4 linked regions of the Struthio camelus genome follow. The protein of the gene in region 1 interacts with the protein of each later gene in a biochemical or structural test. Links are inferred from orthologs where the notes say so. Each region holds a gene or a part of one and is shown in the gene's direction. Other genes may lie near its edges. The genes, in order: PRKN, MFN1, PINK1 and PICK1.

What was found.
Region 2: of the proteins of PRKN (region 1) and MFN1, one has a biochemical effect on the other in vitro, tested with the Homo sapiens proteins (3 studies listed by BioGRID). The link is inferred for Struthio camelus from reciprocal best matches to the Homo sapiens genes PRKN and MFN1.
Region 3: of the proteins of PRKN (region 1) and PINK1, one has a biochemical effect on the other in vitro, tested with the Homo sapiens proteins (12 studies listed by BioGRID, with this or other methods). The link is inferred for Struthio camelus from reciprocal best matches to the Homo sapiens genes PRKN and PINK1.
Region 4: the proteins of PRKN (region 1) and PICK1 form a complex in vitro, tested with the Homo sapiens proteins (3 studies listed by BioGRID and IntAct, with this or other methods). The link is inferred for Struthio camelus from reciprocal best matches to the Homo sapiens genes PRKN and PICK1.

What each region holds. Positions count from the first base shown.
Region 1 is NC_090944.1:86,490,902-86,498,308, reverse strand, and holds the start of PRKN (E3 ubiquitin-protein ligase parkin), read left to right. Parts: upstream 1-4,390; 5' UTR 4,391-4,454; coding exon 4,455-4,461; intron 4,462-4,855; exon of another isoform or gene 4,856-5,307; intron 5,308-7,407. Other genes in the region: PACRG (parkin coregulated gene protein), read right to left, coding at 3,515-3,661. UniProt on the Homo sapiens protein: Functions within a multiprotein E3 ubiquitin ligase complex, catalyzing the covalent attachment of ubiquitin moieties onto substrate proteins. Substrates include SYT11 and VDAC1.
Region 2 is NC_090950.1:24,791,854-24,798,933, reverse strand, and holds the start of MFN1 (mitofusin-1), read left to right. Parts: upstream 1-4,072; 5' UTR 4,073-4,099; coding exon 4,100-4,122; exon of another isoform or gene 4,123-4,447; intron 4,448-5,198; coding exon 5,199-5,320; intron 5,321-5,954; coding exon 5,955-6,090; intron 6,091-6,454; exon of another isoform or gene 6,455-6,558; intron 6,559-7,080. Other genes in the region: ZNF639 (zinc finger protein 639), read left to right, coding at 1-130. UniProt on the Homo sapiens protein: Mitochondrial outer membrane GTPase that mediates mitochondrial clustering and fusion. Membrane clustering requires GTPase activity. It may involve a major rearrangement of the coiled coil domains.
Region 3 is NC_090962.1:12,708,681-12,715,870, reverse strand, and holds the start of PINK1 (serine/threonine-protein kinase PINK1, mitochondrial), read left to right. Parts: upstream 1-4,180; 5' UTR 4,181-4,215; coding exon 4,216-4,494; intron 4,495-7,190. Other genes in the region: CDA (cytidine deaminase), read left to right, coding at 2,756-2,903, 3,044-3,155, 3,327-3,513. UniProt on the Homo sapiens protein: Serine/threonine-protein kinase which acts as a sensor of mitochondrial damage and protects against mitochondrial dysfunction during cellular stress.
Region 4 is NC_090942.1:58,521,743-58,528,955, reverse strand, and holds the start of PICK1 (PRKCA-binding protein), read left to right. Parts: upstream 1-4,210; 5' UTR 4,211-4,343; intron 4,344-4,491; exon of another isoform or gene 4,492-4,733; intron 4,734-5,420; 5' UTR 5,421-5,473; coding exon 5,474-5,514; intron 5,515-6,283; coding exon 6,284-6,395; intron 6,396-6,897; coding exon 6,898-7,026; intron 7,027-7,151; coding exon 7,152-7,213. UniProt on the Homo sapiens protein: Probable adapter protein that bind to and organize the subcellular localization of a variety of membrane proteins containing some PDZ recognition sequence.

The sequences.
Region 1 (7,407 bases):
TAGAACTTCGGAAGTATAGGTGGAAACTGTTCCTTATACCATCTTTTCTACCTCAGCTACTCTGTAGCTTGCTAGTTAAGAGATTCTTCTAAAAGGCGGGAGATAAAGTCTTGAATTCCCTCCCTACCTTTCCCTAAATAGCAAAATGAATCTTCTCTCTGCAAAAGTGCTTTTACTACTAGATTATTACAGAAAAGATGGGCACTAATACTTATTCTCTCATGGACAGGAGCAGAAGGCCAAAAATAAGCTTTGTTAGGTGTCTGGGAAAAAATAACCAACTGTTTGGAGAGATTCAGAATTGAACAGAGGTATCCTCCTGCTGCCCAGATTCACATACAAACATTTTTCTACTGTGCATACAAGTTTTTAGTTTTTTTCCTAATTCTACCCATGGATTAGATGTGAAGTCTAAGCACCTAACATGGCATTCTTGATTCCACTTTGAAGACTAAACAAATAAGATGTAAATGTCATTCGTACCTAGCTTATTACTGTGGAAGACCTTTATTGAATCTAGTTCTAAATCTACACTGCTAAATACATTTTCAGTTTTGGAAGGAAATAATATATAACCAAATACATTCCTCAGTTCAGGAATAATACTCTTGGTGAATCTTTTATCAAGTAATGTATTTAAATTAATAAATTTTAGATATAACATGCCAAAGCTGAGAAAACTCTTGAATAATACAGAATCACAGAATCACAGAATGGTTGAGGTCGGAAGGGACCTCTGGAGATCATCTAGTCCAACTCCTTTGCTTAAGGAGGGTCACCTACAGCACACTACCCAGGAGTGTGTCCAGATGGCTTTTGAATAACTCCAGGGAAGGAGACTCCACTACCCCTCTGGGCAACCTGGTCCAGTGCTCAGTCACCCTCACAGTGAAGAAGTTTTTCCTCATGTTCAGCTGGAACTTCCTGTGTTTCAGTTTCTGCCTGTTGCCTCTTGTCCTGTCACTGTGCACCACGGAGAAGAGTCTGGCCCCATCCTCTTGACACCCTCCCTTCAGATACTTGTACACATTGATGAGATTGCCTCTCAGTATTCTGCGAGAGTTGCCAGAGGCCTATAATTCTGTACTGACTACTGGCTGGCTACCGGCTACAAAGTTAGACTTGGGAAGACAATTTATCCAGTGACTTCCATGAAAAATGATTTAGTGAGACACTCTTTGCACAAGCAGTATTCTGGAACCTTTACTACAACATTTACAGCCATATAGGCATAATGGTAACCTGTTAGACTCTACGCTAAGAGTTTAAGCCTCACTGTATGCTTCCACCAAATCCATACCTAGTTGTTTGACCTGGAGATGCTGAACATGTTGTTGGCAACACTGTTCCTTGGCAGGCTGTTAACAAAAAGAATTACTATGCCTTAACTATATTAGTTTGCTATGCCTTTAACCCACCAATCAATTCCTAAGCCACCCATGACAACTTCACCTATGATGTCAACCTCTGGGAAGTGACTACTTAAGAAATCTGAAGCTCCATTTCATCAGTTGCTGGAGAAGAGAAAAGGAACTCCCACTTCTGAACAGATATAGAATGGCAGTGAGATATTATTCCTAACTGTACCCTAACTTTTTGAGCACTGACCCCAGGAAAATAATTCCAGTGGCTTCCTGGCCTCACTCAGACCTTTTGCAAGAAACAGCCACGGCATTATGAATCTTCCGGGACCTCTAACAGTTTCACTAGGTCCTAAGCAAGGAGTTATGAACACACTCTGTGGAAAGGGTGAGATGTCTGTTAACATCACCGCTGGCAGGGCACCAGGAGGGAAGGGCTGCAATGGAACAGGCTGCCCAGGGAGGTCACGGAACCTGCCCTTGGAGCTCACGGCTCAGCAAGGCGAATGCGTGGCTGACCTGGTCTAGTGCCAGTGACAGCCCCACTTTAAAAGGCAGGTTGGACTACATGACCTTCAGGGGTCCCTGCCAACTATCATTTCCATGATTCAATGAGCCGCCCAAGAGGCAGCAGATTTGCCCCTTTGCTGATTACAGAGTACCACATAGTTTAACATTCTGTTAATGTTTAGAAAGTTAGAATCCTAGCCATAAGTTAAAACTTTAATTATTTACAAGAAAACTTAAATTCTGATTAAACTGATAGCTTAAGCTATAGTCATCAGCCAAAGCTCTTTTTTTTTAATGAAATACAGAGATTCTTCAATGCTGCTGAAACTCTGCTGATTCTTCTAGACTAGATCAAGTACCTTTGAAGTATCAATGCATGAATGCATATTTGCACTTATTCCTGTGAAGTGAAATTTTGTCTGGAGAAGAGGAAATGTCTTTAAAAATTAATCCTTAAACTTGCTGAAGTGTTACAGTCTATGCCACATAGATCTAGAATTAAAAACAAACAAATCAAACAATCTTTAAGGCAAAACGCCGGTTGTTTTTGCTTTACATTCATTCTACTGAGGTCAAGCATGCTTTAATTTTACTACCACTGAAAAAGAATGTTCATTTATACAATTTCTTTCCATTTGAAGTTTGTTTAAAAACTTTAAAAAAAAATGCTGTTAGAAACAACAAGCCCAGGAAGACTGTAACAGGGTTAACTGTTCAAGCAAAACACAGGAAATCATGTATTTCATAGCAGTTATTACAAGAATATACACAACTGAAAAATCCTGAGAAGACAAAACTTTTCTAACAACTTGAATTGTACTCAGAAGTAAACAAACAAACAAAAAGCTATCTAGGAGTTTTATGTACAGATGTGTGCTCATAACAGCTTGACCACGGTCATGCTGAACATCTGCATTCTGAACTAGCTGAAGCTTTTATTTTTATTCCTAAAATCTAATAGAAGCAGTCAAATAAACCAATATAGAACAACACAAAAGTGCCCAAACCTAGTATTTTCACTTGTATACCTCTAAAATCATTAAAAGTTCAGTCAATTAATGAAAGGAGGTTGCTAGATTTTTATCTTGCTCATTCTAAGAGCTATCACAGAATCAACATTTGTTTCCAACTGAATAGTCTCCTATAGTGTGAAAGGCTTTTATTGTTTTTCAAGCATATTTTAAAAATGAAACATATTTTCCAGGTCCCTGTCATCCTGTGTGACATTCACACCAAATTTATACCACAAAGCAACAGCAGATGAACATGTTTTCATACAACACTACAGTATCACGTGACAGGAGTTTGCTAAACACAGAGTGGCAAGCCTTGCACGCAATTCTACATGCTAGTACTTTAATACAACGTGCACTGCCAATAAAAATCAATATAGAAATACGGTGACACTGAAGCAATGTATTCTGAGGCAAAGCATCAACATTTCCACAGGCACAGGCTGTTACCTTATGATAACACTTCTGTAAAATCTGAAAGTAATTCCAGCAACTGACAAACTCCAAATAAAGTCTTAGCAACCCACACACCTGCCTGTCAGTCTCTGTCCCCAGTTCTGGTTTGCTATGCTTCCTGGGCACGTGCGAGTAAATCAGTTAACACCACCCCTACACTAGCAGCAGACATACCACGGTGTTTTTCATCATGGCTTTGACAGTGAATCCATCGCTGACCTGCTGCTTGCTTTTCTTCACGTGCCCCAGTGGCTCCTGCTGCTGGGGCCGCCTGTCACCTACGGTCTTCGGGGGGCTCGAACCCGCCTTCTCCACTACCATCCCCTCTACCAGCAGCGTCCACGAGGGACAAGAACCAAAACACAGACTGAAAACAGAAAAGCCCAACCCAGTGAGTTAGAAACGCAGCACGTCTGCCTCTGCCCCCCTCCCAACCAAGGGCACGACCCCTCCCTTAGCCCTCCCGCTCCTTCTCTGCCCCTGCCCGGCCTCCTCGCTCGCCCCCTTCTGCACCCCCGGCTCGCCCTCCTCTTCCCCACAGCCCCCGCTCCTCCTTCCCTGGCCCTCCATCGCCACCTGCCCTTCTCGCCCGCCACCCCGGGCCAATTCTCGCCCCTGCCTGCCTGCCCGGCGCCTCCCCCCGGCCAGCGCCTGCCCCTCCTCACCCCTGCGCCACCCGCAAGGGCCCCTCGGCCGGGGTCCGTTGGGGGCGGGGCACTAACCGGTGCCGACGGCCGCACGCGTCCCGCACTCGCGCCCGTCGCTAGGCAACGCGTCAACAACCGGCCGCCTCAACCACCCGGCGGCCGTCACGTGCGCAGGGCAAGCACGAGGCTGACGGAAACCCCCGGCCCCCAGGGCAGGGCCCCGCGGCCCGCGAGGGACGGAGCCATCCAGCGGAAACTAACAGGTATCAACTACAAGGTGTCAAGCAGCGGCGCTGACGTGAGGCGAGCTGAGAGGCGTGAAGACGCCAGAACTACGCTTCCCAGAGGGCCCTGCGCCGGCGCGGGCCGCTCGGGCGGCCCCGCCGCTCGCGCCCGCGGCCGGAGCGAGCGCTGGGGCGGCCGCGTGCGCGCGCCCCCGCGCTCGCGCCCCCGCGCCCGCCGCCGTCATGATAGGTGAGTGAGCGCCTCAGTGAGGGGGAGAGCCCGGATGCAGCTCCTCCCGCCTCTCGGCCGCCGCCGGCGGGGCCGCGGCGGCTCCCCGCAGGCACGTCCGCGCTGCCGGCCTGTCCGCCGGTGGCAGGTGCCCGCTGTCAGCGGCCGCGGGTCGCCCCGGGGCCGGCTGTGGGGGCCGGGGCGGCGCCTGGGCGGCCGCGGGGCTTCGCGGGCCCCGCGCTGCGGCACGTGAGGGCCGCGGGCGGCGGCGGCGGCGGCTCAGCGCGTCCCTGTGGTCCGAGGGGGCCGCGCCGCGCCGCGTCCTGCCCTTGTTCCCGCGAAGGTCACTGCTGACGGCTCCCCCTCCGCGCGCCTCTGTCCATGCGGCTAGGCGAGCTGTGCGTGGTTCACCCACCGCTTCGGCCTTGCTTTCTGCCGTGTCACGGGTTGTCAGCTCGCACGTGGTTGCTCTGGCGCCGCGGTTGCGGGCAGTGGGCTCGGAAAGAAGCAATTTTGTCCTCATGCAGGTTGGGAATTGGGCCGCTCTGGTGGGGCGCTACATCCGCCTGATGTCGGTGCAGTACGTGAATCGGTTGTCTTCCGTGCTCACCGTTTTGTTTTCCCCTGTTACCTGTAAGATGTATCCGTGCTGGGGAGCCCCACAAGTCACGAGATGCGTTTTGTAGTCCTACCTCCCCATCTTGTTTTCACTTTTTCAGTGTGGATTATTTAAAAGTAAAAGCTGTAAGTTGTGGTAGGTGTGTTCTAAAAATTCCTTTCTTCAGGCTGTTCATTTCCTTTCGTTTTCAATGTAGGTGCCATATTTGCTATCTACATACAACCTGATCAAGGTAAAAAGCCTGCGGTCAATTGTGATCAAAGTGATTTGGCTTCTTTAATTTAACATCTGAAAAGTATCTTTTCAACTTGCTCCATGAATCCCATGACTCTTTCTACCAGACATTTTTCTTGGCAAAACATGAATTTGAACATTTGGGTAATGTTTTCTTTAAGCATAAGAGTTAAAATGAAAGTTTAAAGAAGTTTTATATGTGATGTTTTCAATCTATATGAGTAGGTCTGCAAACAGTCTGTTTCTAGCTTTAGGACCTTAATTACTGTTTTTAGTTGTTGTTTGGAGTATTTTTTTCTGATGTAACAGAGGCTGTTTTACATAAAAGGCTTGATTTAAGAAACCGCAGGATATCAGGTATTCCACTGTCTTCCACCTTTCAGTGCTTTGTCCACCTCTGATAGGACGTCTTGGAATAGTACATGACATACATGACTTTACAGAACTATGTTGTTTATTTTTGAATGCATTAACAAATTAACACAATGCTTTCAAAAAAAGCAGTAAGTTATGTGTACATAAGGGATTCCTGTGTGGTTACTGATGCTTCCAGCCCTTTTACTGAAGTCCAAATACGTGATGACTCACACTGCATATAAAGATAGCATTTTTATATGGTTGAGGTATTACAGTTTTATTTTCATTGTGATGGCAACAATATTTGTGAATACTGGTTATGAAATATACTTCCCAATTAGTTTAAAATCTGTAAACGGAGCTTTACCTGATTTGCAGCTATAAAAGCAACATCTTCTTAATTTAGCGAAGAAAATAGCAAAGTAGAAAAATCCAGACCTTTTTATTCTGTCTTTCTCCAAGTGTTTGAGCGTGGTCATGGCTCTTCTATGAACTCTTTCCCCATATGCTATTTTTCAGTATATTTTGCAGAGGAAGGGTTTTTTCTGTATCCCATAACATTCCAGAAGAGGCTATACCACTGATTTATATAACGGGGTTTTAATAGCCTTCAGATGATTGCTTATCCCATTTGTATTACATTCTACTGTCCTATTAGTTTTTGTTGAGTGAACAGAGATTTACAAAGAACTGTGTGCAATGAATTTTTCTCAGGTAGACACTTAGTTGAAAATTTAAAATGTGATGTATTACAAATGTTCAAAATACTTAAAATATCTGGAATAGTTTCTAAAAGTAGTTAGAGAAAGATTTGGTTATAAGTAGATTTCTAAGTAACCACAGCTGCAATGCTAAAATTTTATCTGAAAAGTAAAGATAATGTTTAATTTGTATATACTGATTTTTCAGTAAGAGGCTATTTCTTGAGGCTTTCAAAAATGTATTTTTTTAATCTATATGATATTTGCATTAGAACATGGTAGCATAAGTTAATTCTATAACAGTCCATTTGTGTAGAAAACCCATGGACAAATTCATCTGGAAAGTCTGTGGCAGCAGACACAATTGCACTGAATGCATGAGTGCTACCCAGATTTTAGTTCTTTTGCATGTGTACATATTTAAAAGCAATGAGCAGGGTAAATGCCCAAGGTGTCTCTTGCTTTTATAAAAGCTTTTGAAAGATTATTTGTTCTGTAATGTGTTTCACTTTAGGTCACAAAAAGGATTCCTAAAACTGCCATTTCACTTACATATGTATTATTTTTAAACTTTGCAGTCAATTTGTACTGTGTGCTAATGGGATGTTCAGTGCAGGACTTCAGGAAACTTTTCTATAGAGAAGTTTTACATTTTCTTCCTCTAGAAAAAATTTAATAATTATTTAAAAGCAGGATTTTTTTTTAAGGTAATGCTGAAGATGTTCAAAAGTACGTACTCAGCTAGCTTAGCAGGCTTACTCGTGCTGAAATAAGGAAGTTTGAGTGCATAAAAGGCGTTCACTAGGTGAATTCACTAGGTACTTTGGTATCAACATAACTGGCTCTAAATACTCTTTTCAGCAGATAATTGTCAGTGGCTTGATAATCAACCAAAGTTTACTTCAGAATACTAGTTTTCAAATCCAGCATATTGTGAAACAAGCCAACTATCACTGAATCCTTAAAAATGCTTCAGAAAGATACTATTATAACATGGGAATGTGTAGTGTCATGACTGTAAATCCTTCTTTCTCTAAAGTTTATACTGAAACATAC
Region 2 (7,080 bases), on another chromosome or scaffold:
TGAAGATCTTAAAACTCATTTGGATTTTAGGCATTCAGCCGATTTACCTCATAAATGTACCGATTGCTTAATGAGGTTTGGAAATGAAAAAGATCTTTTAAGTCACCTTCAGGTACATGAGACAGCTTAATTAACATTCTTTCCCTGTAATCGATTCGTTAGAATGGGAATTCTTTCCAGTCAGTCACTAAAATGTGAAGTTAAATACAATTTAACAGCGATTGTACAGTGGAAAATACTCACGCTTGCTCTTTGTATCAACAGAACACGTATGACAACTTGGCGTTGTGAATTTTCTTACTTGGGGGTTTCCGTAGGAATAATCGCATTTAGAGTGTGATGGATCAGATGCTGGGGGGAGGGACAGTGGGAGTAGTTGCCTGTTGTAATAGCTGTTCTGAAGGTCATCCTGTATTTTCATGTTTAATATTAAAGAGCTGCTTTCTTAAGAGTTTTAAAAAGAGACAAAGAGAAAGCCAACAGCTAGTTTCACGCTTAAGTAACTGTGCTTGCCATAGCGTTCACTTGCACACCGAACTCATGTTACCCTCTGCAGCAGCAGGTCAGCGTGCTTATGTCTAGCAAATTGCACTGGCCGGCCGAAGATAAGCGTAAAAATTCCCAGGCACGCAGTCTCTAAAATCATATGTTAGCCTGCATTTCCCACCCCCTGCTTTTGATAAGCTTTCAAAATTGACCTGTTTCCTTGGAGTACCTGTCCTACGTCGTGGTTTTGCTTCCTGTCTTTCTCTGTGCAGTGTTTAATTTCGACATCTGTCTGTGGAACCGCCCAGCAATACCTTCTAGTGCTTCATCAACTCCCACACGTTTACAACAGACTTCCCCTATTGTTTTTGTCTCCTTCGTTTACCTTCAGCCCTTATCTTTCTTTTGATACGTTAATGAGATGTGTGGCCTGCCTGTAGGTCGGGTCAGGTTTTAAGGCGCCATTGTAAGGGAATTTGCCAAGTGATCCAGCTGAGAATGTACGAAAAGCATGGTCTTTGCATGTAAAATCGTAATTGAGCTCTCGCTAAAAGGGTGTATGTCAGCAACCTCATTTAGAGCAAGGCTCTATTTGTTTATACTATTATAATTCGGTTACTTTGTGATTAGCTTTCTGCCGCTGGTAGTTGGAGGACAGGTATTTTAATTCTGTAAATTTTAAACTTATCCTATGTACTGGTTTAAAGCCCCGGCACAGTACATAAATTCTGTTAACTTTAATCATTTTCAAATGATTTTGCACATCACATTCAATAGTACTGTCTTTATATTATAATCTTTAAAAGTGAATTTTTAAGCTTCATCCTGTAGCTGTATTTCTGAGTGACTGATGCTTGGGCTGATAGTAAGGATGAGATCATTTAGATTGTGGTAGTTATTGGGGTGAAATTACCCCTATGTAAGTGGTGGAATTTCAATGTCTTTCTGTATTGACTGTAAACTTGTATGGAAGATTGTCTAATGCAAGCTTTGTATAAATCATGTATAAAACATTTCTTGAACAAGGAGATTTGGTGTTAGTAGCAGCAAGGTGTGTAAGGGTCTTTGCACTGGATTTTTAAAGGTAGGGATAAAAATTGGCTAAATTCAGTCAGCTTATGGAAGTTTAGTTTCTCGAGAAGTGTTTCTGCAGTCTAACATGAGCCAGTTAGCGTATGTTGCTTTGCAGGAGGCAAGACCATTTTCATCATTTGGAAATGCTGGTTTGCTACTGAATCTTCTGTGTAGTCATTGAAAAGAACAACCTGATCCCACAATGATTGTATTTTATTAATCCATTTATAGACAGTGACAGTGTCTGTAGAATTGCTAGCTTCCTATTTTGAACACGTCTATCCTGGCTGGCTTGCTATGGTAGCAATAACCTAGTTAACAAAGTAATAATAAGAACTAATTTGGATATGGAAAGTTAATTTTGCTCATCTTGGTATAATTGAGGAGGGGCGAATGCCAGTCCTCCTCTTACAAGCAGCTCCTGGTGACACACAGGTGGAACGGCACTGATGAACACTGGAGAGCAAGCCACTTTTTTTCGGAGACTGACACTAAGAAGGGGCCGCACTGTGGAAGGCACAAGAGAACACTGGGCTTTAGCGTGTCCCATCCAGGAAAGGGAGTTTTGTAGGCGCCGTGGAGCGCTGTGATGCGGAAAAGTTCCTTGACTCCTGAATAGCTTCGTGCCTCTAATTGTTGACTTACGTCCGTTTCTAATCTGTGAAATGGGAATTAAAAGAATACGTCATAGGAATGTTGTGAAGACCACTTGTTCCTAACAAAAAACCACCACGGTGTCTAATTAGCAAATATATGAAATTGAAATTTGTCTTAGGTTGAATTTTATAAATAAGAGAACAGTTTTTTTTTCTTTTAATATCTGCAGAAGGTAAATGGGAGTTTACATGAGCAGGTGGCCTCATTTTACCTTAGCAAGAACATAAATAGGATATTTGCTTCCAAATGCATGTTAAACATGACAGTGTGTGTAGTAGAAAAAACAAGTAATAAGAGTTAAGTCTGTCTAGAAGTTGGGAGGCCAAGAGGAACGGTTGTACATGTCAAGGACTATCTGTTGCTCCCCGCTGAAGGAGTTTACAAGGTAAAGGCTGTGAATTAAAGAGGAGAGGTTTGGTTTATTTACAGGAAATGCGTTAAGTGAAAGGACAGTGTTCTGAGGTGTCTGCATTAAGGTGAATTAAGACGACTTGAATGCTGCTGGTCTGATAACTGCCAGAGACTTGCATTGTCTTTATTCTTACAGCTTGAGCAATTCTCCTTGGTCTTGAATTAGAGAAATTACCTGTGGTAGTCAGAAGGGAATTATGCCCATATATTTTTTTTTTTCTCTGAGATGGTAAATAAGTGGGTCAAATTGAGTGTCTTGCTCCAGTGAAACCCGCAAGGTGCAGCTATCTGAGTAGCAGCATTCTACCTGGAAGCTTTACAGAATCACAAGACTGGCTTCAGAAATAACTTGTATTTGGTTCTTTGTCCTCAGGCTTTTGAGCCTTTAGGTTAACTGTTGTGTATTTTAGCTTCCTGGATCATGTTTGTTATTAAACAAGAGAACTTTTTATACGAAAAATTCTGCTGACTTGAAAACAAAATGAAAAACCAACGAATTATTGCAGGAACTTAGGATACAGTGCATTAGTAATTCTAAAATGATGTGTTCTCCATAATGCTTATTAAGTGCTGTAGACTTTCATGGTTTTCTGTGGTTCTCATTTTCCTGTGCTCTTTCGTGGTGATGTATCCAATATATAAATTATCAGTGCTTTTGAACTCTATAAAGTATTTTAGCGTTTGTCGTTTTAGTTAACAGCTGACTGATTAAACTGTGGTGCTGACAGTATTCAGGAATCCAAAGTCATGGTTCATGTTTTTAGATGTTTGTGACAACTTTCAAGGGCTTGGAAGCTGAGTGTTTACAATCTTAGATATGAACTGGGAGGAGCAGAAAGCTTATGAGCTGCTTATGAGCAGCGCAGGACACCGTTAGGTATAAAAGACTTTCAGTTCATTGAAGCTACGGTTTTATGTTGTGTTTTGCATCACGCAGCGCCTTGTAACAGCTGTGTCGGTCTACTTCTGGCTTTTCCAAACAGTTGCTTGGTACTTCAAGCAGCTTCTCCTCTTCCAAATGTTTGTTAATTAAAACAACAGTGTTAGCCCTACCTACTTCGGATTGCACCTAAATAAACAGCACGTCCATGAAGTGAAGCTGCCATCCCGGTAGACAAACGGCCAGGCAGCAGCCAGCGTCGGGGGTGCTCTGACAGAAAGGGCCGAGCCTCCCCATGGGCGGGAAGGGTAGAGAGCTTAAGATGGTCTCATCTCTTCACACGGTCCCGCTTGTAATTTCTGAAGGGGTGAGGAAGTCCTAGAGCTAGGCTGAAGGCGAAGGGAGGGCGTGCACTGCAGCCCGCCCGGCCGGGCTCCCCGCGCGGCAGCCTGCACCGCCACAGGCGAGCCCCCGCCTCCATTTCACAAGCACCGCGACGCCGCCGCTGCCCGCGCCCAAGATGGCGGCTCCCTCTCCCTTACGCACTTCCGGCCCGCGGTGAAAGCGACGGCTTCTGCGCTCCCGCCCAAAATGGCGGCGGAGCCGGGAGGAGGGTGAGCAGGAGACGGAAGCGGAAGCGCCGCCCGCCCGCCCGTCCCGTCGCGTCCCGTCCCGTCCCGTCCCGTCCCGTCGCGTCCCCTCCCGGCGGCGGGCAGCGGCAGCAGGAGGGAGCGGCGGCGGCCGTTGCCGGGTGACGGAGGCGCGCGCGCGCGGGGCCAGCGGGTCGCTCCGTAAGTGAGGTGCCGCCGCGCGTCCCGGCCTGGCGACCGCTGCGACACCGTCCCGCCGGTCCGGCCTGCCCTCGGCGAGCGGAGCCGCTGGCCGGGCCGGGCCTTTCCCGTGCGCTGCGCGAGGGGAGCCCGTGACCTGCGCGACGGTGTGAGGCAGCTGGCCGGGTTTTAGCAAGGGAAGGGGGGGGAAGAAAGGCTGTTGGGTTTGGAAAGGAAAACTAGAGGGTACAAAGTCTGTCGTGAGCCGCCACAGGAGTGTCTGAACGCGGCGGGGAAGGTTCTTAAAATATATATATATATATATATATATATGCTAAAAAGAGCTTTGCGGAGTGGCACGGCAGCTCGCCCTTGCCCGGCGGCGGCGGCGCCCCGAGGAGAGGCCGTTGGAGCGGGCGCGCGGCGGCGGGGGCAGACGCGTGTTGGGCTGGAAAAGGCAAAAAAGCCGCCGGCGCGGGTGTGTGGTGCCGGCACCCGGCTGGAAACTGGGGCGAAACGTTGCTCCTTAGGTAGAGTTCCAGCTGGGTAGTTTTCTAGGTGAGCTCGTGTTTGAAGATTGGCTGCAACTAACCCGGGGATTTGAAGTGCTGTGGCCGATGTTTTAAATGTTAAAGTTTATACCAGCAGGCGAAGTAGGGTGTTCTTGGTGTTGTGAGAAACCAGAGAGGAAAACTTAGTCTTCGTAGACTTGTTTTTTGTAAACCCCCCCCCCCACCGCCCCCGCCGTGACTAGGGAAAAGTAAGAGTTTGTCAGGATAATAAAATTAGTGTAAATTAACTTTTATTAGCGTTCATTGTACTTATTTTCTTAAACGTTTACTGTGTGAGACCTTGCATGACTTTTCGCTTTTGTTGGTGTCCTGAGTGTTGCAGTGACTTTTATGTAACTTTCCCGACAGTTGCACAATGGCAGAACCTGCTGTGTCTCCACTGAAACACTTTGTGCTGGCTAAAAAGACCATTACTGCTATCTTTGACCAGCTGTTGGACTATGTCACTGAAGGAGCAACTTTTGTCGAAGGTTAGTTTTCCTCTTAAACCCAAGGGCCTTGTCTGTTGCTTTGAATTCGCTTTCTGGTAGCACAGCGTGCATAATGATACACGTTAATATGCCGTACGTGTCAGCTTATTCCAGAAAAGTTGCGTTTTTTTCCTCTGAGTTGGATGCTTTCAACTTGGGCAAGCTGGAACGCTTAGGCTGGTTACATATACGAGAGGCTGGGGAATTATTTGGGCTGGTAGCCTAGCCTCCTTGCAGCGAGGGTGAAGGCTTGACCGCAGTCAGTGTTAGCAGTCGTGCAGTTTCTTCTGCACAGACAAGGGACCAGACAGGTTCTCCCAAAATTCAGTACAAAAGTCAGTCAGCTTGTCAGAGCACAACGGAGCACTGGTTACACCCTCAGAAGTGTTAGTAGTGCGGAGGAGCATGTGTTGCCAAGCCAACTTGGCTGCTCATCCCGCAGGTTAATCCTGACAGGAGGAGAGAGCCTAGCCCTGATGTGTTTTTTTTGTTTGGTTCAGTTTGTTTACAGTTGTATAATTAAAATTTAGACAGCTCTATGTTGGCACGTGAAGTACTGATAATCTGTGTCTTGTATCCTGCAGCATGTACTCTGTATGTGATTGCTTTTGTGCTATTCTTTTTGTATGTCTAGGAACATACAGGAACCCAGAGCTTGAACATGTAGCAACAGAAGATGAACTATCAAAGATACAGGCATATAAGGATAAGCTAGCAGTCATTGGTGAGGTGCTTTCACGGAGACACATGAAAGTGGCATTTTTTGGCAGGTAATGGATAAAATTATCAGAGCTTTTTTTTTTTTTTTTTTTTATTCCTTTTTCCCCTCATGCAGGACTTAGTGACCGTATTTTCTAAGTTTTATGCCCTGGCTTTAGTGTTTCCTCAAAAAATTATTGTTTAAAACATTATATATTAAAACATGTTATTTTGCTAATTGGTGCTAAATCTTTCTTTGATGCCATCTTGCTCCAACACTGTAGCTTAATTACGTACATCTTGTTACGTGTTTGTCATTGATAAACTATATAAAATAATTATTCTGCGTAGATCTGCGATTTGATTGAGGAGGGTCTAAGATTGTTGTTTTCTTCTCCAGAATGTTTATTTTAACTTGATGGTTTTGTTTGTTTTAGTATCTTTGTTTTGCTGGACTGTTGTTTATAAGAACTGTGGTTGGTGTTTGATCACAAGCAACTGTGGAAGAACTACTCTTTGGGCTGCTTTTGTTTCCACGTGTAAGCAACTGATAACAAAGTTAGAGAAACTTGCCTTGTTAATCATTAGTTTGCTATATCCCTGTGATGATTATTAGGGATGACGTATATATTACTGGCGTACACGTAAATCTGAATGAAGTTATGAAGCTATGAAGTTAGGCTCTTCTGTATCACTGACTGGGAGAAGTTCTAGTTCAGACCTTGGTACTGTTACCGCAGACTATTGCATCTTTTACATGTTTAAGTAACACTTCCAAAGTTTTGAGCGTTTTAAATTCCCTTCTGTTCCAAAAAAGATATTTTAAGAATTAGAAAGTTTTTAACTGAGGTTAGCTTTGGATCATCTAATCTTTAATTTTTTTATTTATGTATCAGGCAAATGGAGTTAAAAAGTAAGGTGTTTGTTGCACCCAAAAAATATGTTGTTACATAAAAAATTAAAATATTTTAAAGAAGTGCTGCTGGCTACTTAGACCCAAAGCAGTAAGGTTCTATGTCTCTTTGGTTGTAGCCGTGTTGTGCTTTATTTTTCAGTCTGAT
Region 3 (7,190 bases), on another chromosome or scaffold:
CTCACTGTTCCCGCACCGCCGCGATGCTCCCGCGGGTCTCACCGTTCCCGCACCGCCGCGATGCTCCCACGGGTCTCACTGTTCCCGCACCGCCGCGATGCTCCCGCGGGTCTCACCGTTCCCGCACCGCCGCGATGCTCCCGCGGGTCTCACCGTTCCCACACCGCCGCGATGCTCCCGCGGGTCTCACCGTTCCCGCACCGCCGCGATGCTCCCGCGGGTCTCACCGTTCCCACACCGCCGCGATGCTCCCGCGGGTCTCACCGTTCCCGCACCGCCGCGATGCTCCCGCGGGTCTCACCGTTCCCACGCCGCCGCGATGCTCCCGCGGGTCTCACTGTTCCCGCACCGCCGCGATGCTCCCGTGGGTCTCACCGTTCCCACGCCGCTGTGATGCTCCCGCGGCCGAGCTGCCCCTCCGCCCCGCTCCGCTTTGGGAGGCTGACCTGCCGCGGAGGGGTCCCCCGGCGGTGCCGCCCCCCCGCTGCCGGCTCCCTACCCCAGCGCGGCGGGAGGCGGATGCTGCGGCAGGATGCCGCTGGCCTCGGCGCGGGGGGATGCGGAGCCGCTGAGCTGCCGCAGAGGAGCCGGCGGCGGAGCGAGGCGCAGCCGCTCGCCTGCCCGCTCCTGCTGCGTGAGCGGCGGCAGCGGGGACTCAGCCCTCCGTGGGCTGCTCCACCTCCCCGGGACGCGGCATCAGGCAGCGCGCGGGGAGCCCTCGGCAAACGTTAGCCACGCCGGCAAGCCCGCCGAGCGGAGCCCCCCCCCCCCCTGCTCCCCGCAGGGGAAATTAAGGGCGGAGTGAGGTGGCAGTGATTTTTTTCCCCCCCTTTTCCCCGAAGGCTCGGACCACGGCAGCTGCTCGCCCCGCACAGCCCTAGCGCCAGCGACGAGGCTTTCTCTTCAAATCGGGGCGCTCCTCGAGGCGTTTGCTGCCGGCCGCCCCCGGCGGCGCTCGCGTCGGCCCGGCTTGCAAACGCTGCTGCCTTCTCGCAGGTGGTTTTCACTCAGTTCCCCCCCACCCCCGTTTTTTTTTGTTTTTTTTTGCCATATTTGCAGGCCTTCAAGGATGCCCCTCTTGGGTGGAAATTTTAGCTTTTAGCCTCCTGCCGAATCCGAGGCTTGCTCCGGCGTCGGCTCCGCCGCCGAGCCGCCCAGGGAGACCCCCGTCGGCGCAGCGAACGCGCCCCTCCTCGGCGGTTCTTCGCCCCGGCGCTCCACGCCGCTGCGCGTGCTGCAAACCCGACGGCGGCGGACAACCCCTCCTCTCTCCGACGACCTCGAGCCGGCGCTGGTGCAGCGCAGCTCCGCAGCACTGGCAACCAAAATAATAAAAGATGCAAGCCTTTCTTTCGATCTCTTTATTCGGTTGTGTTTTGGTTTTGTTTTCCAGCAAAGGACGCGGTTTGCTCTGTGCTGCTTTGCTTCCCGGCTCTCAGCGTAAAGGATGGTTTCAGGGACAGGATTTCTAGGGCAAGAATGCAGATTTGGGGGTTTGGGGGTGTTTGTCAGCCCGGTTATTTATAGCTCCTGCGTTATTCAGGTCCCGCTGTCAATGCGGCGAGCGTCGGGGATCGCTGCCGGCTCGGCTTCTCCGGGGACCTGGCGTTTGCTTCCTCCCTCGTTTTCCTGCCCTGCTCCTCTGAGCCGATTATTTCCCTCACAAACAGGCTTTCTGGAGCTGCGAGGGCACCGAGCAGCGCCGAACTGGAGCGAGAGCTGCCGGCCCCGGCGTTGGGGGTCGCTCCCCGCAGCGGCCGCAGTTTACCCCTCTCGACTGCAATATGCCCCCTGCAACCGCGATACATCCCCTGCAGCTGCAATATTCCCCCCGCAGCTGCAATTTGCCCTTCGCAGCTGCAATTTATCCCCTGCAGCTGCACTTTACCCCCTGCAATCGCACTTTACCCCCTGCACCGGCAATTCGCTCCCGCGCTGCGCCTTGGCAGCCCTAAAGCTCTGGCGGGTGATATAACATGTTGCATGAGGAAGGTGGTTTGTCCGACTCTCCCCGCATCCCAGGCAGGGAAAACCGGAGCTCCTAAAAGCTTGGGACTTCCCCGCGCTTAAATCAGCGGGCGAGCACGCAGCCGGCGTCGAGCGCGTGGAGTTTGTGGCATTTCTTCCAGCGGCTCAGCTTCGATTTCTTCGCTAAAGAAAGCTCCCGGCTTTTAAATCGCCTATTTTCCATCGGCCTTGCAGGCGGCAGCATATTCTTCCCGCGCCCCCCCGCCTCAGGCAGATGCCGAAATCTCAGTGCAAAAACACGTTTTCAATCCGGATCTTCAACGTGGAATTTTAACTCTTCATTACAAGGCCCGGAAAAGCTGATTTCTCTTGCTTTTTCCCTGCTTTCAACCGTATCGTCTTATCTCGCTGCCGAGGAACCGGTGTTTTCCCTCCCGAGTACATTTTACGACGTTTTCCCATTGAGTCATAAAACAGCTTTGCTGCCGGGGAGAAAAAAAAAAAGAAAGCAGTGATGGAAAATATTCTGCCGATCCCATCGGGACGGCGCCGGAGCCTTTAGAAACGCGGGGCCTAAAGAGAGGGAGGGGGGAAAAGAAAAAAGAAAGGGAAATAAGCGGCGCAGGGGGGAAAACGAGGGGCGGAAGGGCCGGGTCTCGGCGGCGTTCGCGCGGTCTCGGCCCCGTTTCCCACGCCCGCGGGGGCGTCCTCCGGGCTCGGCCCCGCGGCGGGGGAGGACGAGGGCCACGCCGCCGGGGAAATATTTAACCGCAGGGCCGGCGGAGCGATGGAGCGGGGCTCCTCGCCGGAGGCCGAGCGCCTCCGGGCGCTGCTGCTGCAGCGCAGCCGGGAGGCCAAGGCGGCCGCCTACTGCCCCTACAGCCGCTTCCCCGTGGGCGCCGCGCTCCTCACCGCCAGCGGCCACGTCTTCTCCGGTAAGCGCCCCGCCTGTAGCTTTGGGCCAACAGCCGGGAAACATCCGCCAGGGTGAACGGCGAAGTGGGTGGGTGGGGGGTCCGCGTCCTCTCGGGGGCTGGCAGCAGCCCCGGGGTGACGGCGCGCGCCCTTCCCCTAGGCTGCAATGTGGAAAACGCCTGCCACAGCCTGGGGGTGTGCGCCGAGCGCACAGCCATCCAGAAAGCCGTCTCCGAGGGTCACACCAGCTTCAAGGCCATGGCCATCGCCAGGTGAGGCGCCGCGCGGCGGGTTCGCCTGGTCGAGGGCAGCAAGGAGGTGGCGGCGGGGGGACACAAACAAGGAGGGGGCTGCCCGAAAGAGCGTTTCTTCAGGTGCCTTCGCCCCCCCCCCCCCGGGGGGTTCGCCGGCCGCCCTCAGCTTTGCCTCCTCTTCTCCGGCAGCGACCTCGAGGGCGACTTCATCGTGCCCTGCGGCGCCTGCAGACAAGTCATGCGGGAGGTAAAGGGCTTTTTTCTCCCCCCTCTTCGCTCCCCGGCTCGGCCCTTCCCGGTGTCCCCCCCCACCCCCCACACGCCGGCCCGCGGGAAGACTCTTGGCGGGATTCCCGCGGCGCCGGGCGCCCGTTGATCCTCTTCTCGCCCCGCAGTTCGGCCGGGACTGGGACGTGTACCTCACCAAACCCGACGGCACCTACGTCGTCAAGAGCCTGGAGGAGCTTTTGCCGCTCTCCTTCGGGCCGGAGGACCTGAGGAAGCTGTGATTTTGGGGAGGGGGCGGGAGGCCGAAGGGCGCCTGCGGGTAACGCGACGGGAGCCGAGGGCCGAGGCGGCGGAGGCCGGTCAGCCGCGGTGTCGCGGAAGGTGTAAAACGCGCCGAATAACACAAAACCCGCCACGCCGGCGGGGCGGGGGGGAAAAAAAAAAGGGCTGGGTCCTTCGGTTGTGGAGGGAGGGAAGGCGAAAGGGGAGCGCTCCGCCGGCGCTGCCGGGCGGGCGGCCTGCGGCCCCACCGCGGCCTCCGCGTCTTCCTCTCAGGGGCCTGAACCGGGGGGGGGGGGGGGGGTCACCGTTCCCGGGCCAACGGCAGCTCGGCGGCAGAACCGTTGATTAAATAACGCGCGGTGGTGGTGGGGGGGGGAAAAAACCCGGAAAAAACCCGAAAAAACCGAATAAAAGGGGAGGGGGGGGGCGGTGTTAAGGGTGTAACCGTCGCCCGGCGGGGGCGCGCGGGGTGACGTCAGCGCGCGCGCGGGAGGGGGCGGCGCGCGCGGGGTGACGTCAGCGCGCGCGGCGGCGGCGGTTGGAGCCGTTAGAGCCGTTGGGCGCCGCCATGGCGCTGCGGCTGATGCTGGCCCGCGCCCTGCGGCTGCTGCCGCGCTGGCGGCTGCCCCGCGCCGCCCGCCCGCCGCCTTCCTCCTCCTCCTCCTCCTCCTGCCGCCCTCCGCGGGGGTCCTGGCTCCTCGGCGGGGCGGCGGCCGGGCTGGCGCGGCGGGTCGGCGGCGCGGCGGGGGGGGGAGGCCGCAGCCTGGCGCTGGCGCTGGCGCTGGCCCTGCTGGAGCCGCGCCTGGAGGAGCAGCGACGGGCCGAGGCGGCGTGCCGCCGCATCCAGGTGCGGTGCGGCCCGGCCCGTCCTGGCACCCCTGCCGGCCCCCGAGGTGGGGGGGGGGGTGGTCCCCTGCCGTAGGTACAGCCCGAGAGGGGCCCGGGGGGGGTCCCCTGCCGAGAGTACAGCCCGAGGAGGGTCCCGGGGGTGTCCTCTCTCCTGCTACAGCCCGAGGAGGGTCCCGAGGGGTGTCCCCTGTCCTGGGTACAGCCCGAGGAGGGCCTGAGGGGGGGTGTCCCCTGCCGAAGATACAGCCCGAGGAGGGCCCAGAGGTGTCCCCTGTCCTGGGTACAGCCCGGGGGTGTCCCCTGTCCTGGGTACAGCCCGAGAGGGGCCCGGGGGTGTCCTCTGTCCTGCTACAGCCCGAGGAGGGTCCCGAGGGGTGTCCCCTGTCCTAGGTACAGCCCGAGGAGGGTCCCGAGGGGTGTCCCCTGTCCTGGGTACAGCCCGAGGAAGGCCTGAGGGAGGGTGTCCCCTGCCGAAGATACAGCCTGAGGAGGGCCGGGGGATGTCCGCTGTCCTGGGTACAGCCTGAGGAGGGCCCAGAGGTGTCCCCTGTCCTGGGTACAGCCCGGGGGTGTCCCCTGTCCTGGGTACAGCCCGAGGAGGGCCCCGGAGGTGTCCCCTGCCGTTGGTGGAGCCTGAGAGGGCCCGGGGTGGGGCGTCTCCTGCTGTGAGCACAGCCCAAGGAAGGTCCCGGGGGTGTCCCCTGCCCTGGGTACAGCCCGAGGGGGGCCTGGGGGATGTCCCCTGCTGTGAGCAGAGCCCGAGGAAGGTCCCGGGGGGTGTCCCCTGCCCTGGGTACATCCCGAGGGGGGCCTGGGGGATGTCCCCTGTGGCAGGTACAGCCCGAGGGGGGCCCGGGGGTGTCCTCTGTCCTGGGTACAGCCTGAGGAGTGCCCTGGGGGTGTCTTCTGCCGTGGGTACAGTGTGAGGGGGGTCCGGGGGTGTCCCCTGCCCTGGGTACAGCCCGAGGAGGGCCCGGGGGTGTCCCCTGTTGCAGGTACAGCCTGAGGGGTGCCTCGGGGGTGTCCCCTGCCCTGGGTACAGCCCCGGGGGAGCCCGGGGGTGTCCCCTGCCGTGGGCACAGACCAAGGGAGGCCCTGGGGGTGTCTCCTGCTGTGAGCTCAGCCCAAGGAGGTCCCAGGGGTGTCCCCTGCCATTGGTATAGCCCGAGGAGGACCTGGGGGTGTCCCCTGTCCTGGGTACAGCCCAAGGGGGTCCAGGGGTGTCCCCTGTCCTGGGTACAGCCCGAGGAGGGGGGCTCGAGGGTGTGCCCTGTCCTGGGTACAGCCCAAGGAGGTTCTGGGGGTGTCCCCTGCCGGGGGTACAGTGTGAAGGGGGTCCAGGGGTGTCCCCTGTCCTGGGTACAGCCCGAGGAGGTTCCGGGGGTGTCCCCTGCCGGGGGTACAGTGTGAAGGGGGTCCGGGGGTGTCCCCTGTCCTGGGTACAGCCCGAGGAGGGGGGCTCGAGGGTGTGCCCTGTCCTGGGTACAGCCCGAGGAGGTTCCGGGGGTGTCCCCTGCCGGGGGTACAGTGTGAAGGGGGTCCGGGGGTGTCCCCTGTCCTGGGTACAGCCCGAGGAGGGGGGCTCGAGGGTGTGCCCTGTCCTGGGTACAGCCCGAGGAGGCCCTGGGGGGTGTCCCCTGCCGGGGGTACAGTGTGAAGGGGGTCCGGGGGTGTCCCCTGTCCTGGGTACAGCCCGAGGAGGGGGGCTCGAGGGTGTGCCCTGTCCTGGGTACAGCCCGAGGAGGTTCCGGGGGTGTCCCCTGCCGGGGGTACAGTGTGAAGGGGGTCCGGGGGTGTCCCCTGTCCTGGGTACAGCCCGAGGAGGGGGGCTCGAGGGTGTGCCCTGTCCTGGGTACAGCCTGAGGAGGTTCCGGGGGTGTCCCCTGCCGGGGGTACAGTGTGAAGGGGGTTCGGGGGTGTCCCCTGTCCTGGGTACAGCCCGAGGAGGGGGGCTCGAGGGTGTGCCCTGTCCTGGGTACAGCCTGAGGAGGTTCCGGGGGTGTCCCCTGCCGGGGGTACAGTGTGAAGGGGGTTCGGGGGTGTCCCCTGTCCTGGGTACAGCCCGAGGAGGGGGGCTCGAGGGTGTGCCCTGTCCTGGGTACAGCCCAAGGACGTTCCGGGGGTGACCCCTGCCGGGGGTACAGTGTGAAGGGGGTCCAGGGGTGTCCCCTGTCCTGGGTACAGCCCGAGGAGGGGGGCTCGAGGGTGTGCCCTGTCCTGGGTACAGCCCAAGGAGGTTCTGGGGGTGTCCCCTGCCGGGGGTACAGTGTGAAGGGGGTCCAGGGGTGTCCCCTGTCCTGGGTACAGCCCCGGGGGAGCCCGGGGGTGTCCCCTGCCAGGGGTACAGTGTGAAGGGGGTCCGGGGGTGTCCCCTGTCCTGGGTACAGCCCGAGGAGGGGGGCTCGAGGGTGTCCCCTGTCCTGGGTACAGCCCGAGGAGGTTCCGGGGGTGTCCCCTGCCGGGGGTACAGTGTGAAGGGGGTCCGGGGGTGTCCCCTGTCCTGGGTACAGCCCGAGGAGGGGGGCTCGAGGGTGTGCCCTGTCCTGGGTACAGCCCAAGGAGGTTCTGGGGGTGTCCCCTGCCGGGGGTACAGTGTGAAGGGGGTCCAGGGGTGTCCCCTGTCCTGGGTACAGCCCAAGGAGGTTCCGGGGGTGTCCCCTGCCGGGGGTACAGTGTGAAGGGGGTCCGGGGGTG
Region 4 (7,213 bases), on another chromosome or scaffold:
ACTTCTCATCCCAGGAGGTCTTGAGAGTTTGAATATGACAGTGATAAAATAATAAGCAGTTAGGTCATTTGTAGACATGTTTTCAATGTGTTTCTTACCCCTTCCTCTCTGAGTTGGTAGCCCAGGGTGTGTGTGATAATAGCATACGCTCACCTCAGTACACAAAAAATAAGCCTTATGAATGACTATCCCTTATTCCACCTCAGTGGAGCCAACATCTCCTTCACACCTGCACCATGTAGAGGCATCTGCAAAGGTCTGGAGCATCCAGCAGAAGTGGGGCAGAGATGGGGCGGGCCCTGTGGAGTGGTGGGCAGGGCAGGGCCAGAGAAGGGGAATATAATTCCCACAGAATCAGTTACCTATTGACGATTTCCTCCAAAACAGAAAACACAGCCTGAGGGACAACAATTGAGGAGGGTGTTAGCTCAGTTTTAGTCATGTCGACTCTAAGCTGACAACAGTAGCAGAAAAGCAGCCAGAAACATGAGATTCAGCACAGACCAAGTACAGAGAAATACATCCGAGTGCCAAGAAGCTGACTAGTCATGCAACGTGTGATTTGCTTGCAGACTCCTTATTACACATGATGAAAGACAAGCAGAAGAGAGCTCGACTCTCAGAGCCTGGGCTGAGTTTGCTGGGTTGTCTGCTTAAGGGTGGGAAAATGTATTTGCAGACAGAGCCTTCTTGATCTAAGCAGTACAGGTAAACAGTAGGAATGAAGCCCACTTTTCAGGGTACAGCTGCATTTCATATTTGTGATGTGATAATCAGTCAGACCTACTCTTGAGAACAAATAGCTTCCTGGGAGTTTTTACAGGCCAGCCAGGCTTTTTTTTTTTTTTTTCGGATTTGAGATTACCACTTCCGGCAATAATTCATCACCCTTTCTCTATGGAGATGGTGATTTCCTGGATTTCTAATGATGGGACAGACATGACTTTAGGGCACATGTAGCTTAATTCTCCATCTCATGTACAGAGAGTCCAATTGATCCTGGACAAATCAAGGCTTACTGTGCACATAGGGCAGGGTCAGTCAGTGCATGCATGCATAGGCTCTTGCTTCCATGACATACTGGGCTGCATATGCACACATCAGTGGAACAGCACAAAAGCAGGACACACAAGACCTACCTACAGATTTTGGTCCTGTCAGTGTCAGCAGGTCTGTTTTTTTACCCCAGGCCAGTTCTGCCTCTCGTCTTTTTTTCTAACAGCAGGAGCTGATGGGAAATGAGAAATTCACTGCCTGTTCTTTTCCCTTGCAGTTCTAGCAGCAAAAATGGACCCAGAAAAAATGAGATCCTGCTATTTCTTTTAACCAGTCTGGTGCCCTGCTACGCACAAGGCTCTGAGCAGTCCCCCTTGGGCAAAACCAAATGGTTCGTGTTATGCAGGTGTTCTCCTATGTTTGGAAATTTTTTTTTTCTTGGCAAGAAAATAGGAGAAATACCCCACCATTTCAAACCCAGAGTCAGTACGTCTGACTCTAGGCCCCCTTCCTGACAGCAGAAATTCTCAGCAGTGCCCACACGGTGGAGCTGCCCCCTTAGAAATTAAGCACCGCTGGCTGCCCAGTGGTCGCTACCACCCTGGGACCGGGTAGCCTAGGTTCACGAAACGGGAGGTTAGACCACTCAGCAACAGGACAGTGTAGGACTAACAGGCCCCTAACGCATTGCATGAAGCAATCCTGCCATTGCATGACAGAGAGCAGGTCTGACTTCTACTCCTGTCTCTGCTTGCTGATTACCACGTGACCTTTGCTCATTTGCTTTATAATCTCGTGTCTGTATTAACTGTCAACTTCTGCAGGGTTAAGGAGTGTTTCCTATGTGTTTTGCAGTACCCAGCTAGCCAGGGACTGGAGTTCAGCTGAAGCTGCAATGTAACTTTATCGTAAATACATTATAATGCTATAGTTAACTCCCCCTTTAACAGTTGCCAATAGTGAAGTTATACGTGTCGAGGAGGATGGAGGGACAGGTTTTTTAAATATGCAAATGTATTTCAAAGTAAGTGTTTAAGAGGAAGAAAATTAGGATCAGCTGTTTTGATCCAAGAATCTGAAAGAATTTCATAGAATTATAAAGGAAAATGTTTCCAAATGTTGCAGAGTTTCTCTCAGGATCATAGCACTGCAGAATCAGTCCAGTCAAGTATTGACTCTCTCTAAAGGATAGCTATTCCACAGCTGCTGTGGGCCACCATCTCAGTGCTTACCCACCCTCATAGTGAAGTTTTTTCCTTTTATCTAATCAGAATGTCCATGCTGCCACTTGGGACTATTGCCTCTTGTCTTTTGCTGTGCAAAAGCTCTGGAAAGAGTCTGACTCTGTCTTCTCTGCATCCTCCTTGGCCACAGTAAAGGGCCATTGCACTGCTGGGCCACAGAGACTTCCTCAGTTGTAGAGATCAAGGACTGGCTCATCAATTCCAGGGCTTCACAGATCACAGATGTAAAACTCCTGTCAGCTTCCAGGGTCAGGATATCAGTCTGTTCTCTTCAGAGAGCTCCCTTCTGCAGGACTTGCATTTCTCATTCAGCTTCCCTTCATAAATAAATCATCTTTTAGATGCAGGACTTCAAAATGATTCTTAACAGCCTACTCTTGCTCTTGTACTCCATCATTGTGAGAGGCTTCAGTCGGTGTTTTGATGTATGTAGTTCCTAGGTTCATGATGCTGCACACTGCAAACACTAACCATCCTCTAAGACAGCAAGAGAGGTTCATTGTCTTCAGCCAGTCCTTGTGGCTGGTTAGGAAGGAGTTTTCTGTTCAAAGAGTGTGATTTTCTTGTATTGTTTTGATCTGTGTCAATAAGTCAGGTTTGGCAGCTTGGTAATTCCTCAGAAGTCAGCAGTGGCTGGAAGAGATGATACATAATGCAACAGGAGACTATATTCTTCTGGGAAATCAAAGCATTCTCCCAGTGACAGTGCTCTCTTGATGGAGGCAGAAAGCTCATTTGAACATCTAACAACTACCCCCTCCACATCACAGAGGAGCAAAATGCATGAAAGCTTGGCAATACTGCTTTATACATGACAGTGTGGCACTTTTGCATACAGCTGTGCTGACTGGCTTTCAAAACACAGCTTCCATAGGTCACCACTGGCCTGTCAGCAGTAAAAGCAATTGTACAAACCAGTTTGGAAGCTCTTTGTACCCCTGCTTTCATCTGAATCAGTCCAGAATGCTTTCCCATTCACAAACATCTTTCCGAAATGTTCCTTTGATACATGCAAGCATTGTATATACATATTTTTATAGTGTGCATCATCTGCAATAGGCAATGGCAGTCTGTATTTTTCCAAGAGGGAAGTACAAAAAATTGTGTTTTCCTCAGTGCTGGCACACATTGGGTGCCCCTCATGGGTTTCCCTGCTGAGTGAACAGCTGAGATAGTTTGCCATGATACCTTAACTGTAATAGGAAAAGTCATAGTGTTAGTGTTTTGTACTACACCATGAAACACCTACACCCCCTTTAGCTCAGTAGTTTCCATCCTCTTCCTCAGCTGTCACCAACTCCTTGTCTTTCTGTCTTGGTTATTTTACTGAGACTAAACAGTCTGCTTTCTCAGTGCTCATAAATCAAGGTTTTTGTAGTGAGGCGACTGTGATACCTAGTGAATCTAAACCAGAGCTGGGATGCAGCCTAAAACCGGAGTGGGCATTGCAGGCCCCACACCACCACACGCCACTCCCTTCCTGGTCCCTTCCATGCTGAGGTAACCCTGTGAGGCCCGAAGGCCTCTCCAGGTAGAGCCTGGAGGGCACGTCCCCCAAGGGCAGCTCTCTGCCAGCCCAGCTCCCCGAGCTGGCCCCACAGGAGGGGCGGGCGGGCGGGAGGGAGGATGCGCCTGGGCTCTGTGGCGATCTCCGGAGCCACGCAGACTGCGCAGAGGAGACCACGCGGTTCCCATGGGGGGCGGCCATTTTGTGGGGCTCTCCCACCCCGAGGCGGGTCGCGCCCCTGGGGCTGCAGCGCGCCCGGGGGCCCACGGGGGGGCGCCAGAGCGCTGGGCCGGGCCGGGCCGGGGTGGGGTGGGGTGGGGTGGGAGGGGGCGACGCCCCACTTCCCCCCGGAGCGCCACCATGCCGCTCTCAAGATGGCGGCGGGAGCGGGGCCGGCGCCCGCCGCGTCGCCCGTGCGATTGGCTGCCCCCGATCGCCGTGCGCTGTCGCCATGGCAACGCCCGTCGCCAAGCGGGGCGGGCGGGGGGGAGGAGCTCCGGGCGCTTCCGGGTTGGCCCCAGCAGTGACGTGTCGGCGGTCGGAGTGCGCCGGGCGGCAGGTGGCGGCGGGGGCCGCGCGCGGGACGGGCACTTCCGGTGAGCCACGGGACACCCCCCCCCCGCGCGCTCCCCTCAGGGCCAGCGGGGGCGCCCCCTGGGGTTGCCCCGGCAACGCGCTCCGCGGGGGGAGGGGCTGTGCGGTCGTGCTCCGCCCCTCCCCCCCGGCCCTGTCAGCGTCCGCCCCCTCCCCAAAAATCCCGAGTAGCGCCACAAGCGCAGCTCCTTCCGCCCCCCAACCCCCCCGCCCTAACTTTGCCCTCCTCCGCCCCCCCCCCCCCCGAGCGTGGCCGTGCGTTTCGCAGGGCCGCGAGGCTGCGGGAGGGGGCGCGGGCGCGGCGGGTAACGGACCGCGTCGGGCCGAGCGTGTCTGAGGCGCGAGGGCATGGCCGGGAGCGCGGAGGCAAACTGTGCGCGAAGCGGTCGTGCGTAGGTGGCGTGTGGGGAGGATGTGTCTGTAACTGCCTCCAAAGGTCACCGCTGGCTTTGGGCGCGGTGCGGACATAAGCGATGTGTGACTGTGCGTTTGGTACAAGCAGAGAATGAGCGGAACCAAAATAACGTTTGCTAACTCATGTCTGAAATTAAAAAAAAAAAAAAAGATGCACAGGGGGGTTTGCGTACGGGAAATGTAATGAGACCTCTTCTGAAAATGAGTTAGGAAAAGCTTTACGTAGCCTCCCAAGGTAGGAGATGAACATCAACAAAGTTAGAAACTTGCTATGAAATCAAGAAAGAAACAAATATTCAATGCACTTAAAGGATAAAACCACAGATACCTTTAGAAGTTACGGTGATAGACAGGTGGAGCATGTAAAGAATCAGTTTCCAGAATGGACTGTATTTTGTTCTCTGCATTGGAAATACTGTATGTATATGGGTTTTGAAACAAGCAATGTTTGAACTTGAGGATTTTCTCTGGTCTCTCACTCAGAGCAGAGAATGAGAGACGCTTGAAATATTTTTCCTCTTCAGTACAAGAAAGAAATGGAGAGCACCATTTGAAATAAAAAAAAAAAAAAGAGAGAGAGAGAGAAGGGTTAACAAGGGTCACAGGTTAACTCTGCAATTATCTATTGAGATCACTGGTTTATTGGGTTTTTTCTTTCTTTTCAGGCAGTTTGGAATAAGCAGCGTTTCAGACCAACAGATTCCATTTAGCCAAAACAATGTTTGCAGACTTGGACTATGATATTGAAGAAGATAAACTGTGAGTATTTCACTCGTCTTTTACTATTTTTTGCTAACAGTAGACACAGCTCTAACAGCCAAGATCTAATGGGAACAGAGAGATTTACCTTCTCCTGATGACGTAGGCTAAAGAGTCAGACCGCGGTCCTGATTTCTTGCTTCCTCTGGAGATTGAGGATGAGGCGTTGCTGTGCTGGTGAACAGAGACGAATGATTTCTGTTCCTCTACAGTAACTACCATGAGTTTCTGATCACAAAGCAGTGCTGGCAAGTCTTCAGTAAATAGTGACTTCAGCTAGAGAAGAAATGACTTATAATGGAGGAAAGGAAATAAGAAGCGGGAAGAAATAGAGAGAAACTCTGGAATCCTTAGATCTGTAAGGAGGATAACACTAGAATTTTCTTAGCAAGTGAAAGGTTTTATGAGATTAGCAGAGAATTTGAGATGGAGCACTTGTCTTACGTCTCGTTTGTGAATGTTTTCCTCTCACTGTAGCACAAAGATCAGATGAAGTACTCCCTAAAACATGCAAGCATTTCCTCTCTGTCTAGCAGTGGATGAAGGTATCTCTATCACCTCTTCTTGCATGCAATCACAATAAAGATAGCGCTGAAGGTTTTTCTGCTGATCTGTGCTGATAGACTCTCTAGCAGAAATAATGTGATTAATTCAAATGTGCAGTACCCACTATGTTTTCAGTTTGTATTGACTCAAATACCATTATTCTTTCATACAAATACAGCTGTGCTTGCCATGCCAGCTATTCATTCCCTCTCTCTCATTCTAGTGGTATCCCCACTGTTCCTGGGACAGTAACCTTGAAGAAGGATTCTCAGAATCTGATCGGGATCAGCATTGGGGGAGGAGCACAGTACTGCCCCTGTCTCTATATCGTCCAGGTGGGTGCTCAGGGAAGAAGAATAAACCATGTTGGTAAAAGTGCTGGCCTGAGAGATGGATGGCGTGGAGAGTCTTATGATTTTGGATTTTGTTCAAAGTGTGAAACATCTCACTTCAAAATAAATAAGAACTCATTACCCTGGTATCTAATAGGCATGGAAGAATTAAACTAAGACTTCTGAAATTATTCTTCTCCTCGGAGAGCATGTTAGAATTCAGAGGAGTGGTGTGACTTCCTCAGTTTCGAGAAATCCAGCACTTGAGGAGACATGTCATGGAGACTACAAGTTCCTGAGAAAACAAGATGATCAACCCACCTCTGAGTTAGGAGAGGAGGAAAAAACAAAGCTTCACCGTGAACAGTACTAAATACAATTGAGTTAAACAAGAGGAATAGAAATGTCTCTTCTGCTGCCCTCCCTGTTTCTTCCTTCGGCCCTCTATTCATTTATCTCTTCCTCCTGATTCCAGGCTACCTGTGCTCTTTCTCTTCTCTGCTAGGTATTTGATAACACGCCAGCAGCCTTAGATGGGACAGTAGCAGCTGGTGATGAAATCACAGGAGTGAATGGGAAGTCCGTCAAAGGGAAGACCAAGGTGGAGGTGGCCAAGATGATACAGATGGTAAAGGTGAGAGGTAGGAGGGGGCTGCTGAAGCTGCTGGGTCACAATTTACAGGTGGTTGTCCTTCAGTAAAGGAAGCTGTTGCTGCTTGCTTCCGATAACAGCAGTTTTTGGATTTGCTCTTCCTGCAGGGTGAAGTGACGATTCACTACAACAAGCTTCAGGCTGACCCTAAGCAGGGCAAGTCCTTGGA